Rattus norvegicus: one gene and its partners. The protein of the gene in region 1 interacts with the protein of each later gene in a pairwise test. Links are inferred from orthologs where the notes say so. Each region holds a gene or a part of one and is shown in the gene's direction. Other genes may lie near its edges.

What was found.
Region 2: the proteins of Trim27 (region 1) and Tbc1d22b interact in binary tests that used the Homo sapiens proteins (3 or more experiments, as listed by UniProt). The link is inferred for Rattus norvegicus from reciprocal best matches to the Homo sapiens genes TRIM27 and TBC1D22B.
Region 3: the proteins of Trim27 (region 1) and Pus7l interact in binary tests that used the Homo sapiens proteins (3 or more experiments, as listed by UniProt). The two-hybrid records come from large-scale screens. The link is inferred for Rattus norvegicus from reciprocal best matches to the Homo sapiens genes TRIM27 and PUS7L.

What each region holds. Positions count from the first base shown.
Region 1 is NC_086035.1:48,242,614-48,247,666, reverse strand, and holds the start of Trim27 (zinc finger protein RFP), read left to right. Parts: upstream 1-1,609; coding exon 1,610-2,029; intron 2,030-2,561; exon of another isoform or gene 2,562-2,700; intron 2,701-2,766; exon of another isoform or gene 2,767-2,904; intron 2,905-3,112; coding exon 3,113-3,208; intron 3,209-4,715; coding exon 4,716-4,946; intron 4,947-5,053. Other genes in the region: uncharacterized protein LOC134482717, read right to left, coding at 642-678, 1,283-1,611. UniProt on the Homo sapiens protein: E3 ubiquitin-protein ligase that mediates ubiquitination of various substrates and thereby plays a role in diffent processes including proliferation, innate immunity, apoptosis, immune response or autophagy.
Region 2 is NC_086038.1:7,665,216-7,669,673, forward strand, and holds part of Tbc1d22b (TBC1 domain family member 22B), read left to right. Parts: intron 1-3,649; coding exon 3,650-3,777; intron 3,778-4,003; coding exon 4,004-4,099; intron 4,100-4,458. UniProt on the Homo sapiens protein: May act as a GTPase-activating protein for Rab family protein(s).
Region 3 is NC_086025.1:127,541,263-127,545,546, reverse strand, and holds part of Pus7l (pseudouridylate synthase PUS7L), read left to right. Parts: intron 1-367; coding exon 368-449; intron 450-867; coding exon 868-1,145; intron 1,146-2,523; coding exon 2,524-2,577; intron 2,578-4,284. UniProt on the Homo sapiens protein: Pseudouridine synthase that catalyzes pseudouridylation of mRNAs.

The sequences.
Region 1 (5,053 bases):
CCTCGGATTTCTTGTCCCAAGGGAAAGAACCGAGCAGAATCCAATGAAGTGATGCTCTGGATACAGAAATTCCCTGTCCAGACACTGAGTCAATCCCAAAGGAGAGTAGGAAAGGCCACGGCAGAAGTGACAGGGCACAGAACTGCAAATCTATTCTGTGATAAGAAGCTAGCCTACAAGACCTCCTCGGGTCGTCGCAGAATTCTCAATTGGGCAGAAACAAGCAAGTTTTAGGTTCTACTCAATGCCGTTCAATGCACTGGACACTTCATTTAAACTAATGGATAAAAATCTTTATGGCTCAAGCTGTGTTTTAAAAAGTTTAACTCACGGATGGGGAAAATTCCTGAAAGCAACAGTGTATGGGGGCTCAAGGAAGACACTGAAACAGACTGCTGGGAGTAAGAACTTTATTAGCGCCATAGGCAGATAGGCGGTGGACAATCAGAATTTCTGGCCGCGCCACAGGCGCCAGGGGGAGGTGGGGGCTGGGGAGTGTTCGAGAATGAAGCCCACGTGGCAGAATCAGGGTCGTTTCTTCTAGGGTCTCATAGGAACCCGCGGCCAGGCTCCTTCCTCAGCAGGTGGTAGGGAAGAAGTGTGTCATCAAGTAGCTCTTTGATATGTCTGGTCTGGCTACTTCACTTGAGGAAGTGAGAAACTGGGCACCAGAGGAGCCTGTTAAGAAGTTAGGGACTCACAAGCGGGCTCTCGGTGAGGCAGCTCCCTAGTAGCCGGAAGGCTAGAGAGAAGGGGAAGGACTTCAGTAGGTATCAGGGTCTGGTGAGCACTCTGGTCTGGATTCTATCAATCCCCCATTTCACGCGAGAAGAAAATGAGGCTCGGAACGATAAACAAACTTACTTTAGGGTGGAAGTAGAAGTGGGCTTCTCCATTTCTGCCACTGAGAAAAGTTGCTGATAATAAAACCTTTTTCTGGCGATTATTATCGCCTGGAGTTGGGTGTGTTTCAGAGTGCTTCACACACTGGGAGGGGCTTAGCTGGTCTCTCAGCCCAGTTTTCCGGCACTTATGCAAAGCCACCTTGCATTTAAAGGAGCCAAGGCCTAGGCACTAAGAAGACACCCGGCAAAGGACTACGGATCCACCAAAGCTTAGAGTATCCCGACCCCACTGCCAGGGACACCCTGCTCCCACTGCAAAGGGCAACCACCACCGACTCCCGGGCTGGGTACCGGGGCTCCAGGACTGCGCCGAGGAAACCCGCCTTCCCGCCCCGGAGGAGAGCGGCGCGGGAAGCCAGGCCCCGCCCCCGGCCCACCTCTTCCGCTCGGCCCTTAGGAGTCTGCGCGGCCCTGGGATCCCTTCCGACGCGGCCACGTTGCCCGGTGAGCCATCCTGCAGCGCCGGGTTCCCGACACCCCTCTGCTCGGCTCTCAGCCGGGCCCTGGGGCCCAGGCCTTCCCGCGCTGTCCGTGAGGTGCAGCTGTGCGGGGACGGGTCTGGCCGCCCCAGAGCTCCGCACGCGTCTAGGATCCCCGCGCCGGAGGCCCCACCCCGCTCCGGATCTGAGAAGCCGAGAGAGAGCGCCGGGCTCTGCCAGAGCTCGGCTCCGGGCTCATGCCCTGCGGCCCAGCCGGCTCGCGCCATGGCCTCAGGGAGCGTGGCCGAGTCCCTGCAGCAGGAGACCACCTGCCCCGTGTGTCTTCAATACTTTGTGGAACCCATGATGCTCGACTGCGGCCACAACATCTGTTGCGCGTGCCTGGCCCGCTGCTGGGGTGCCGCGGAGACTAACGTGTCGTGCCCGCAGTGCCGGGAGACCTTCCCGCAGCGCCACATGCGGCCCAACCGGCACCTGGCCAACGTGACCCAGCTGGTGAAGCAACTGCGCACCGAGCGGCCGTCGGGGCCGGACGGCGAGATGGGCGTGTGCGAGAAGCACCGCGAGCCTCTGAAGCTGTACTGCGAGCAGGACCAGATGCCCATCTGCGTGGTGTGCGACCGCTCGCGCGAGCACCGTGGCCACAGCGTGCTGCCGCTGGAGGAGGCTGTGGAAGGCTTCAAGGTAGGGCCGGGCCGGCGGACAAAGAGGAGAGCCGGGGGCTTCCTGGTTTGCCGCCGAGAAAATGGCGAGCCGGACGTGGGGCCCACCGCCGTCATTTCCTCCCTGTCGGCTGCGGAGCCTCCGCGCTCAGACTCGGAAGGAGAACCTGTAGCTGGCGAGGCCAGAGGCGTCCCCACCCCCACCCCTTCTCCGAGCGCCCCCTGTTAACTGCCTCAACGCGTGCCGCGGCTGGGACGGCGCGAGGAGACCCTCCCTTGACAAAGGAGATGCACATGGAGCCATGTCCACTTCCATAGGCCTTGAACACCTCGAACTTGCTCTGGCCCAGGATATCAAACCAGACAGCCCCTGTTGGCTGGCCGAATTCACATCGACCGATGCCTATCACTTAATCTAAGCCCCCAGCGCTTCCCTGTAACCTGTTTTAGAACCTAATGGAAATGAACAGAGCTCTTTACTGCTTGAGTAAATCATTTAGCCACTCTCAGACTCGGGAGATAACTTAATGAAGAGGAAGTGAACTCACAGGACCTGAAGAGGCCTTTGTTGAATAAACACTGGCACAGCTACACAGTAATTCGAAAATGTTACATATAAAGTAACTCTCAAGTGATAATGAGTCTGTTTTGAGGACTGCAGGGATATGTACCAACAGTTAGATTTGTTTAAATGTGAGTTCATCCAAATGTCAGTCACGTTTACAAAGCTGTATCATTTCACTCACTGGAAATAAAGTTGTAATTTAGTAATGCTTACCAGTTCTGTGCATGAGGAAAATAAATCATTTTTTTCTGTATTCGTCTGAGGAATAGCTTACCTTTTGAGCCTCTTTACCCAGATGTCTCATAACCTGTGCAGAATGCTTCTAGGAACTGGTAGGTGGCTTGAGTTTAACAAATTTCTAAAACAGCTGTGCTGGACCCTGTGCTTTAGGCTCTTCCCAGGAATGGCACTGTGGTCTGAGGACAGAGTCCAGCCCGGCCTTGGCATCTGTAGTTTGGGTTCCTGTGTCATAAGCAGAGTAGCTATTTTGATGCTGAGATCTGCAAAATTCTGAATTGGCTGACTGTTTACTTTCTTCAGGAGCAAATCCAGAATCGGCTGGACCACCTAAGAAGAGTGAAAGACTTGAAGAAGAGACGGAGGGCACAGGGGGAGCAGGCACGAGCTGAGCTCCTGGTAAGGGTCCAGGTCTCCAGCCTGCAGAGAGGCATTGCATCAGGATAGCCTTGGCAAGGGTGTAATGAAAACTTCTAAGCAGAGCATTTCCCCTTGGTGTCTGTCATTCCTATCATTTAGCTCCATCCTGTCTCTGAGTGAGTGCGATCTTGACACCTCTTGCTTGAAAACAGGATGAAGAAACTTCTCAGTGATCTTGTGTAGACTAAACTTAAACATACAATGTATCATATCAGCTTTGGGAGGATTTTCCAGAGAGAAATACTTGTGCCAGTGTGTCAGTCACACTGCTTTGGATATACTCAGTAAATTGATCTTTAGCCTTAATTTTGTCTAAGGTTATATTGTATACTTTATACCTTTGAAAGACTTATCCAGGTTAAAAGAGGTATAAGGGGCCCTTGGAACAGTTGAATTCAAGTCAGATTTTAGCAAACTTTCTGAAAGGGGCCAGTAATAAGTATTTTTAGCTTTGTTAATTTACACAAGCTAAATCACAACACCTCAGTCATTGCATCTCAAAAACAGCCATGTCTAATACATAAATGAGTGGGTTTGGCTGGATTCAAGTAAAATCTTTCTTGACTGCTCTAGAGCCATTTTGCTGACCATTTGTTTATTCAGAAATAGTTTCACTATGCAATCCAGGATGGTCTTGAACTCTCCATATTCCTGCCTTAGTCTCCCCAAGTGCTGGAATTATAGTATGCACTGCCACACTTGGTTTATAATCTTAGAACTCTAGGTTTTTTAGGATGTCTTAGGTAGCCCCAGTTGATCTTAAGTTCATTATATAGTTAAGAGTGATCCTGAAGTTCCAGTCTTGCCTTGTCTGCCTTCCAAGTGCTAGGAATGCAGGCATGGAGGAATTAGAAATGTAGGAAAGATAGACAAACCAATAGAAACATTGTATGGAGAGGAACCCATAAGCACCCCCTAAAAAATCAGGGCATGGATTACTTACTGAGACCAAGTAAACACATCCAGGAAACTTGTGCTTGCTCGATCATACCAGGTCATGTCCACAGAGTGCACACCTAACCCTGCCATTTCACTGTGATTGTTTCATGACTCCGCCTGCCAGGCAAGATGTTCATGGGCTCCAGTCATGTAGAACAATGCCTTTTCTCCCCACTTTATTGCCTGTGCCATTTGCTCAGCCTAGACAGCCTGTCTAGTTTATGCTTACATGGCATTCTACAAGACCTGTGCAAACATGGACTTTAGGAAGACAGTTGAGTTTCAGTGTCTTTACCTATCCGTGGATGAACCTGACCCTGATTTGACTGGGTCCCTTAAGATTAGAGACTGTTTATTAATTAAGATTTGAAGTAATTCAGTCCGTGGTCGGCACGTGTCTGTGTAGACTGGAAAGTGAGTGGGTGAGCATAGTGTCTGTTTTCATGTAACTTGAAATGGTGAGATCTTTGGGTTAAGTCATGGGGGTTATTTTGAAGGATTCTAACAGTGAGCCTTTCCTATTCTTACCTTTGCTTGTCATTTACAGAGCCTGACCCAGATGGAGAGGGAAAAAATTGTTTGGGAGTTTGAGCAGCTGTATCACTCTTTGAAGGAACATGAGTATCGCCTGTTGGCTCGCCTTGAGGAGCTAGACTTGGCCATCTATAATAGCATCAACGGTGCCATCACTCAGTTCTCCTGCAACATCTCCCACCTCAGTGGCCTGATTGCCCAACTGGAAGAGAAGCAGCAGCAGCCCACGAGGGAGCTCTTGCAGGTAACCAGGAGAGCGCTGCAGGGCAGCTTTTACCTTGTCAGGCAACATTCCTGTGATTCCCTGTGTCCCTTTTAACTGCTAAAGTGTTAAGCATTTTGGAAGGAAAA
Region 2 (4,458 bases), on another chromosome or scaffold:
CCTGCTCCCTCCCCAGCCTGTCCTTGTAGTGATGCTGCCTTGGCAATGCTATCTTCACGGCTCAGCAGGAAGGCTGTGAGCTCCCTCCAGGTCTGTCTACCTCATTCTGTCACCAAGCTCTCAGTTCCCCGACAGCTCTGCCCCAGTCACTCCCCTCCCCTTCCCAGTCCGCAGCCCAGGTCCAGCCATTTGCTCTCGACACCTTCCTCCCAGAAGGACTTACATTCTCTTGCTTGTTGTGTTTTCAAACCATCATCCTGTGAGGGTTTCCCAGCAGTGTTCTGGCCGTGCCCTTCTGTTCCAGAGCTGCCAGTGACTTCCCCTTCATTGCCTTTTGTATCCAGTTTGTGAGTTGACCTTGCCCGTCATGTAGTAACATACTGATCCCTGGCTTGACACAGGCTCCCGAGTCTGGCTGACACCCTAGTGGGACTTTGAACACCCCTCTGGGACCTGGGGGGGCTCCCTGGGAGGCAGAGATCTGGGGAGAGCTGGTGCTTACAGGAGTGGAGCGTCCCAGCTCTGGTCAGGCCCTAGGAAGACCTTAGAAAGCCCTAGTGATGGGGCTGGGGATTTAGCTCAGTGGTAGAGCGCTTACCTAGGAAGCGCAAGGCCCTGGGTTCGGTCCCCAGCTCCGAAAAAAAGAACCAAAAAAAAAAAAAAAAAAAGAAAGCCCTAGTGACAAGGACACTGTGGCCAGAGAGACGGACAGAGGAGGTTGGGAGTTAATCTTCCCTGCAGTGTGGACCTAGCAGGGGCCCTGTGACCAGAGATCCTGTAGGCCAGTGAGTGCCTTCAAGACTGCACCAAACATTGGTGTCCTCCCCCCTCTGCTGTGGGACTTCCTGTCCCATCCCTCCTTCCCCTGCACAGTTGGGTCTCTCACTTTCCCAGGTTCTCTTGGTCGTGGGAACATCCTTGGTTTGTCTTGGCTCCCTCATCTTTCCACGACCTAGGGCCTTGGTGCTCTCCCTCACGTGCCCCTCACAGTAGTTCTGTGCGTGGTAAATGGATCGTTCTCCCTCTGGGCCTTACACTCTGCCCAGCCGCCAGCGCCATACTGGGCTGTCATTCCCCTGAGCCTTGTATAGGGTGCATGCTGTCCTCTTGGGGAACTCAACGGCCCCCAGGGCTGGTCATCAGGTGGATTCCAGATGGCACAGACAGTGGTTTCTTCTGCTGTCTACCTCCCTTTTCTTTTTCTGGCCTAGGTAAATAAAGGCATGAAGATTAAAAATAGTGGGGTTTTTAAAAAATGTGTACACTGGGCTGTGGAGCTGATACATTGGGCTAGGATGCTTCCTCCCAAGCCTGCCAACCTGATCATCATGGTAGACAGAGCACACGGACTACTGCAAGCTGTCCTCTGACCTCCACAAGACTACACACACACGCACACACACACACACACACACACACACACACACCCCTCGCACCACACACACACCACACACACACACACACCACACACGCACCACACACACACAAACATACACCCTCACACCACACACACACCCCTCACACCACACACACAACACACACACACACACACACTCCTCACACCACACACACACACCACACACACATACACACACACACATACCACACCACACATACACACCACACACACACATACACACACCCTCACACCACACACACACACCTCTCACACCACACACACACACACCACACACACACCTCACACCACACACACACACACCACACACACACCCCTCACACCACACACACACCACACACATATACCTCACACCACACACACACACATATACACACCCCTCACACCACACACACACATACACATACACACACACACCACATACACATACACACACACACCACACACACACCACATACACATACACACACACACATACACACACCCTCACACCACACACACACCACACACAGACACACACACACACACGCACACACACCACACACATACACACACACCACACACACACACCACACACACACATATACACACACCACACACACACACACTCCTCACACCACACACACACACACCACACACACATACACACACATACACACACATACCACACACACACATGCACACACCCTCATACCACATACACACACTCCTCACACCACACATACACACACACCACACACACATACACACCACACACACACACACCACACACACATACACCACACACACATACACACACCCTCACACCACACACACACACCTCTCATACCACACACACACCACACACACATACACACCACACACACACACACACACCACACACCACACACACATACACCACACACACATACACACACCCTCACACCACACACACACACACACACATACAAACACCCCTCACACACCACACACACACACACACCCCTCACACACACACACATACAAACACCCCTCACACACCACACACACACACACACACACCCCTCACACACCCCCCCACACTATATAGATGTGCAGCACACTCTTGTACCTTATGCACTTTCTCATTACAAAGACCATACAACAGCAACAACCCCACAGCTGTTCACAGCCCCCAGGCCTTAGATTCCAGCCCCTAAGCAACCATTGCTCCTCTTGAAGCCCTGGACTGAGCCGTCAGACACTATTTTACAGATCGGCTTTCTCAGTTTTCCTCCCCAGAGTCCTCTGAAGTGTGAGGGGTTATCCTCAATAAAACTCGAAAGGAAAAAAGTTATTGGGGAGGGGTACACACACGCCACCACGTGGAAGGGGGAGTCAGGACAACACCCAGGAGTCCATTACCTCTTTCAGTCAGATGGGTTCCAGGGGTCAGGTCATCAGGCTTGGTGGCCGATGCCTTTACTCATTGAGCCGTCTTGCTGGCCTCTGATTGTCCCATTTTATAAATGAGAAGATGGTGATTTAAAACCGTGCCATCAGCGGGGCTGGAGTGGTGGCTCGTGGGTCACAAGCCCCTTGCTGCTCTTCCAGAGGACCCACGTTCAGTTCTGAGCGCCCACATGGCGTGGCTCACAGCTGTCTGTAACTCCTGGGACTCTGATGCCTCTGATACTCTTGTGCACACGCCCACACGCAGACACACGCCTACATGTCATTCAGTACAAATGCATCTTAAAGCATCAGGAACAAAAACCCATCGAGCCTTAGTCTCCAAGCCCTCATGCAGGATAGGGGACCAGGCCAGGCCAACTGGCTCAGGACGCTACACAGGGCAGGAGCCAAGTGGCAGGTGGCAGCTAGTTTCAACCGAATTTGCAGAATAATCTCCTGGTGAGTCCCCTCCTACAAGAAAGAAGCCACCTCTGCTGGCCACCTGTCAGGGATGCTGAAGGGAGCTGGCCAAGGTGGCCTCCAGGGTTCCTGGCCTTGCCCTGTAGAGTAATTAGGCTCCGCAGCCAAGTTTACCTCATGTCTTCATGGCCAGTGCAGCCCCCGGATGACAGCGGGCACCTGGGAATGGCTTGGTGGATGATGGCGTGCCATGCACCACGCCGTGCACCACGTGCTGACCTCAGCCACAAGCAGGACTGAGATGTTGGGATCCAAGGTCAGCCCACCGGGGAGGGGCTGGTAAGAAACAGAGCCCGCTCCTGGCCGTGCTGGTGGCTCCTGACCTGGTGCCACTTTCAGAGCAGGTACACAGTCACTTCAGGAGGTATGAGGTGGAGTACCTGCAGTTTGCCTTCCGGTGGATGAACAACCTGCTGATGCGGGAGCTTCCCCTGCGCTGCACCATCCGCCTGTGGGATACCTACCAGGTATGGAGGGGCCCCTGCCTTTCAGCCAGCCCTGCTGGGCCCGACACCCTGTGCAGCCTCTCTGCCCACCTTCATCCTGTGTCTGCTGAGGCCTTTGGAAGTCTCATAAGCCCATCTCTGTCACATAAGGGGTTTTAGCCAGGCTTTCCACCGTGCAGGTAGCTGGGAAGGGAGAGGCTCACAGTGGGGGCTCGGAGGCCTGCCTGACTCTTCTTTTCTTTCTCAGTCTGAGCCAGAAGGCTTCTCGCACTTCCATCTCTACGTGTGCGCCGCCTTCTTGATCAAGTGGAGGAAGGAGATTTTGGATGAGGAAGACTTTCAGGTAAGTGGGCAGAGGTGCGGCTGCGGACGCTCGCCTGGGCCCTAGGGTCTTCCCAGTGGGAAGGGTCTTTGTGCAGGAAGGGCTGCAGAGTGGCTGCAGAGTGGCTGTGCAGATCCCTCATTCACTCACTGACAGGTGTTGATTGCAGCCTGCTCTGTGAGTCACCATGGAGGCCTAGGACATCCTGGGAAGTGAAACAGGCAGAGGGCCGTTCTCACACAGCCCCCGTGCTGAGGGAAGACAGGCAGTAGACAAAGGCGCAGGGGCCTACAGAGACGCTGGGGATAAGTACACACTGCGCAAGGCCCAGCAACCTCTGCGGGAGGGGAGGCTGCAGCTTCACCCGAAGCAGTCAGGAT
Region 3 (4,284 bases), on another chromosome or scaffold:
TCCCTGTTTTTGTCCCACGTCGGACAAGTCCGAGTGTTTATGTTATTATGCCTTTATATTATTTCAGCCAAGTAAAGAGTGAAGGGAATGGGCGCTGTACTCAGATACATAAAACAAACAATAAAGAGAAAAGAATGACAGGAATGTAATTGTTGAAGTGCTTGGCGAGGGTATTTTGGTTGTTACTTTGTATGCTAGTTTGTATCGAAGATCATCTCTACATGTGAACAGGCTCAGTGTTGGAAGCTGAAGGAGGAAATTGCAGCAACATTTTCAGTCCTTTAAGGATGCCCAAGAATTTGCCTCCTTTAAAAAAAAGTAATTGGTCATTTTTTATAAAACATCTTTACTTGGTTAATTTTTCCAGGTAAAGGCCATAAAATTATTTCTCACGCCAGAAGACGCGGATGATCCTGTCAATAAAGCAAAGAAATACTTCCTCCAAACTGGTATGTAGGTTTCTTTACAGCTGCGGATGCCGCTGATGTTCTATTGGATGTCCATAACTCTCCTTTCGAAACTCCCAGACCCCAGCAGCTTGCTGGCTTATTTGATCTTTGGTGATTGGTAGTTTTTATTTACCAGTCTTCTGAATTAGATTAACACTTTCCTAAAGGAAGGGGTCCGGTCAGCCCCTCCTGTTGACCAGAGGTTCGTTTGCTCTTTCTTATTTTTCAAGGAAAATAAAATCTAAAAAAAAAAAAAGAAAGAAAGAGAAAAGCAAGCCTTTTCAAGTATCATCGGGCTTAACCAGTACTACTCCATGTCTCCACAAAGGACTGCCTTTCATTTAGGCTGCTCGAAAAGGCATCCTGCGGGTAGCTCTGCCGTGGAAGTGGCTACGAGCTGATTTGTTCTTCGTTTCAGAGGACGCTAAAGGCACGCTTTCACTGATGCCCGAGTTCCGGGTTCGAGAGCGCGCGCTGCTGGAGTCCTTGCATCGCTTTGGCGTGACGGAGGAAGGCTGCGTCCAGGCCTGGTTCTCCTTCCCCCATTCCATGCGTATATTCTACATCCACGCATACAGTAGCAGGATTTGGAACGAGGCAGCGTCGTACAGACTGGCAGCCTACGGACCCAAGGTGGTGAAGGGGGACCTGGTCTGCTTGGATGAAGATGCGGACGAGCATCTTCCAAGCAGTAAAGTGAGTACCGGCCACGGAGGTGACTCGCCGCACCAGAGACAGCAATTCCGTTTGCTGGTTTCCGGCTTGACTTTTCTGACAGCCAAGGGTTGCTAAGTGTAGAAACAGTGGCACAGAGTGAAAGGTGGCAAGGCTTTCATTAAAGAGCACACTTCCAAACACACACACACACACACACACACACACACACAGACACACACACACACACACACACACACACACACACACACACACACACACACACACCTGTACGTGTAATGCACAGATCTGTCCTCTTAAAAACAAGAATGAACCGTCCAGAGCTGGCTTGCCCACACACCCCAACTAGGCGTGCTCTGTCCCTGGCCTCCTCGGCCAGCATGTGTCTCTCTGCTTTCCCCGAAAGAAAGTTCTTTGATGGTGCTATGAGGATATGACACATTGTAAAATTGTTAGGTTTTAGGGGAAAAGGATTTCAGATATCTGGTTCTTTAACTCTCATTCTATAGGAATGAGAGCTGATGCCCAGGTGGGAAGTTTCGGAAAAATTCAGAACCGCCAAGGTAGTGTGCCTAAAAAGACCCAGGAGTCTAGGTGGGTCTCCTGAGGAGGAACCAGAATGTAGATCTAGTAGTCAGTTAATAAAGATACATCACAGCCCAGCACTTCAAAACGTGAGGGAAGGTCGACTCTGAGCTTTGCCTAAAGAAAGCTTCACCTAGATTAATGCTGGGCTCCCTATATACGAATAATTTGAGGTAATAGAGATCTACCTTGGGCTAATTAAAAGAGAACCCAGCATGAATTTATCGGCCCTATGTCTGAAACCCATGATTTATTCAGGCACCGTCCGTGTCTCTGCAAGAGTGGCAAGGGCTGCTCACAGCTGAGCATCTCTCCAGCCAAGGACTGTGTGTTCTGTGACGCTCTGAGCAGAGCTTTTCAAACGTAATACATCGCACACCACCTTCCTTCTCTTCCCGTCTCTGAAGCCTACAACCGTTCTCTGGAACAAATACTGGCAAACGGCTGGGTAAACTATGGCCGTGTTTCCTGGGGACGGGGTGGTTGAAGGCAGGGCTGGCTCTGTAGAAGCAGATGTTCAGTTCGGCATAATTCGTGGGTGACAGAAGAAGTGCTGTCGGGAGGCAGCCACGGTTGCAGCTCGCTCGCTCGCTCGCTCGCTTGCTCGCTCGCTTCTGCACTGTGAGGTCGATGCAGAAAGGATTGGCCTGTTTTTGTGTCGTGGGCTTCTCTGGAGACAAGCGATTATAAAGAGACGGTGTTTGAGCATGTGTATATTCAGTGTGTGGGCCAGAGTCAGGGATCAGTGAGGTAATCTCAGCATTTGGGAACCACTCATTTCTGTCGTATATTTTTTTCTTTTTTATAAAACTAGGTTCACCTGGTGACCGAGGAAGAGGAGTCAGCTGACACATATGCACTGCACCAGGTAAACGTGATCAGAAGTCACTGTCACTTAGATTTTAAATAAGCATTGTCTGCTAGAGACAAATCTGACCCTCCCTTCTTAGGTAACTTTTAGATTAAGTAATGCTTTATATCCTAATAATTTATGCTTCTTTAATGAATTTATGCTTATAAGAGATTGTTTATGCTACCATTTACGTCCTAATAATTTAACTTATGCTTCTTTTTTAAAAAAAGATTTATTTACTTTTTTAATGTATATGAATACACTGTAGCTGTCTTCAGACACACCAGGAGAGGGCATCAGACCTCATTACACATGGTTGTGAGCCACCCACCGTGTGGTTGCTGGGACTTGAACTCAGGACCTCTGGAAGACCAGTCAGTGCTCTTAACTTCTGAGCCATCTCTCCAGCTCCAACTTGCTTCTGATAAACACATATAGTCATGCGTACAGTGACTATGTGTTCATGTCTCCCTCCAGGGTTTCCCACTGTCAGACCATCAATCCTACCTCCAGGGTTGCATTAATCCTGACTCACGAGAGTCACTGATTTACTCTTTTTATTTCATTTTACTGCGCTCTACCCCTGGGGGCGGGGGGAGAGGATATCACATGAATAGTGTCACATGGTATCTGTGTGACCTTCATTGAATCTATAGCCCAGCTTCTAAGTCTGTAGGCTGTGACCCTATGTCGGAATGTGGGAGCCGGGTAAACATCTGTAGCAGCACAAGGTTTCTGAGCGCGCACTGACAGAAAGCTAAGCTGAAACCCAAGTGCGTAACACACCCAAGGTATCTGTAGAAGCGTTTGCCAGTGTTGCATCATGTGGCCTCACTGCAGGCCAGGCTCTGCATGGCAACACATGTAACTTTGCACCGTGAGCGCTGCATGCTCAGCCGTGCAGATGGTGAGGGTGATGATGATGGTGATTGTGGTGGTGGTGGTGATGATGATGATGGTGGTGATGATAATGGTGATGGTGATGAGGGTGACGAGGGTGATGGTGAAGGTGGTGATGATGATGGTGGTGATGAGGGTGTGAAGGTGATGATGGTGATGGTGGTGGTGATGATGATGGTGATGAGGGTGGTGATGGTGATGAGGGTGATGAGGGTGATGGTGATGATAATGATGGTGGTGATGAGGGTGATGAGGGTGATGGTGATGGTGGTGATGGTGGTGATGATGTGATGGTGATGAGGGTGATGATGGTGATGAGGGTGATGATGGTGATGAGGGTGATGATGGTGATGAGGGTGATGAGGGTGATGATGGTGATGAGGGTGATGATGGTGATGAGGGTGATGAGGGTGATGAGGGAATGAGGGTGATGAGGGTGATGATGGTGATGAGGGTGATGATGGTGATGAGGGTGATGAGGGTGATGGTGATGAGGGTGATGGTGGTGATGAGGGTGATGAGGGTGGTGAGGGTGATGAGGGTGGTGAGGGTGATGGTGATGAGGGTGGTGATGGTGATGATGGTGATGGTGGTGATGATGATGATGGTGATGATGGTGATGAGGGTGGTGAGGGTGATGGTGATGAGGGTGATGGTGGTGATGATGACGTCACCTGAACACCTCAGCTCAGATTCCAGACTATCACACATTAGCAGTTGTAGGTTTTAGTGCACATATAAAATTTCCTGTTTTTTTTTTTTTTTTTTAAAAAAAAAAAACAAATGGCTTACTTCTGGAAAACAGACTTAATATTTTTTTCT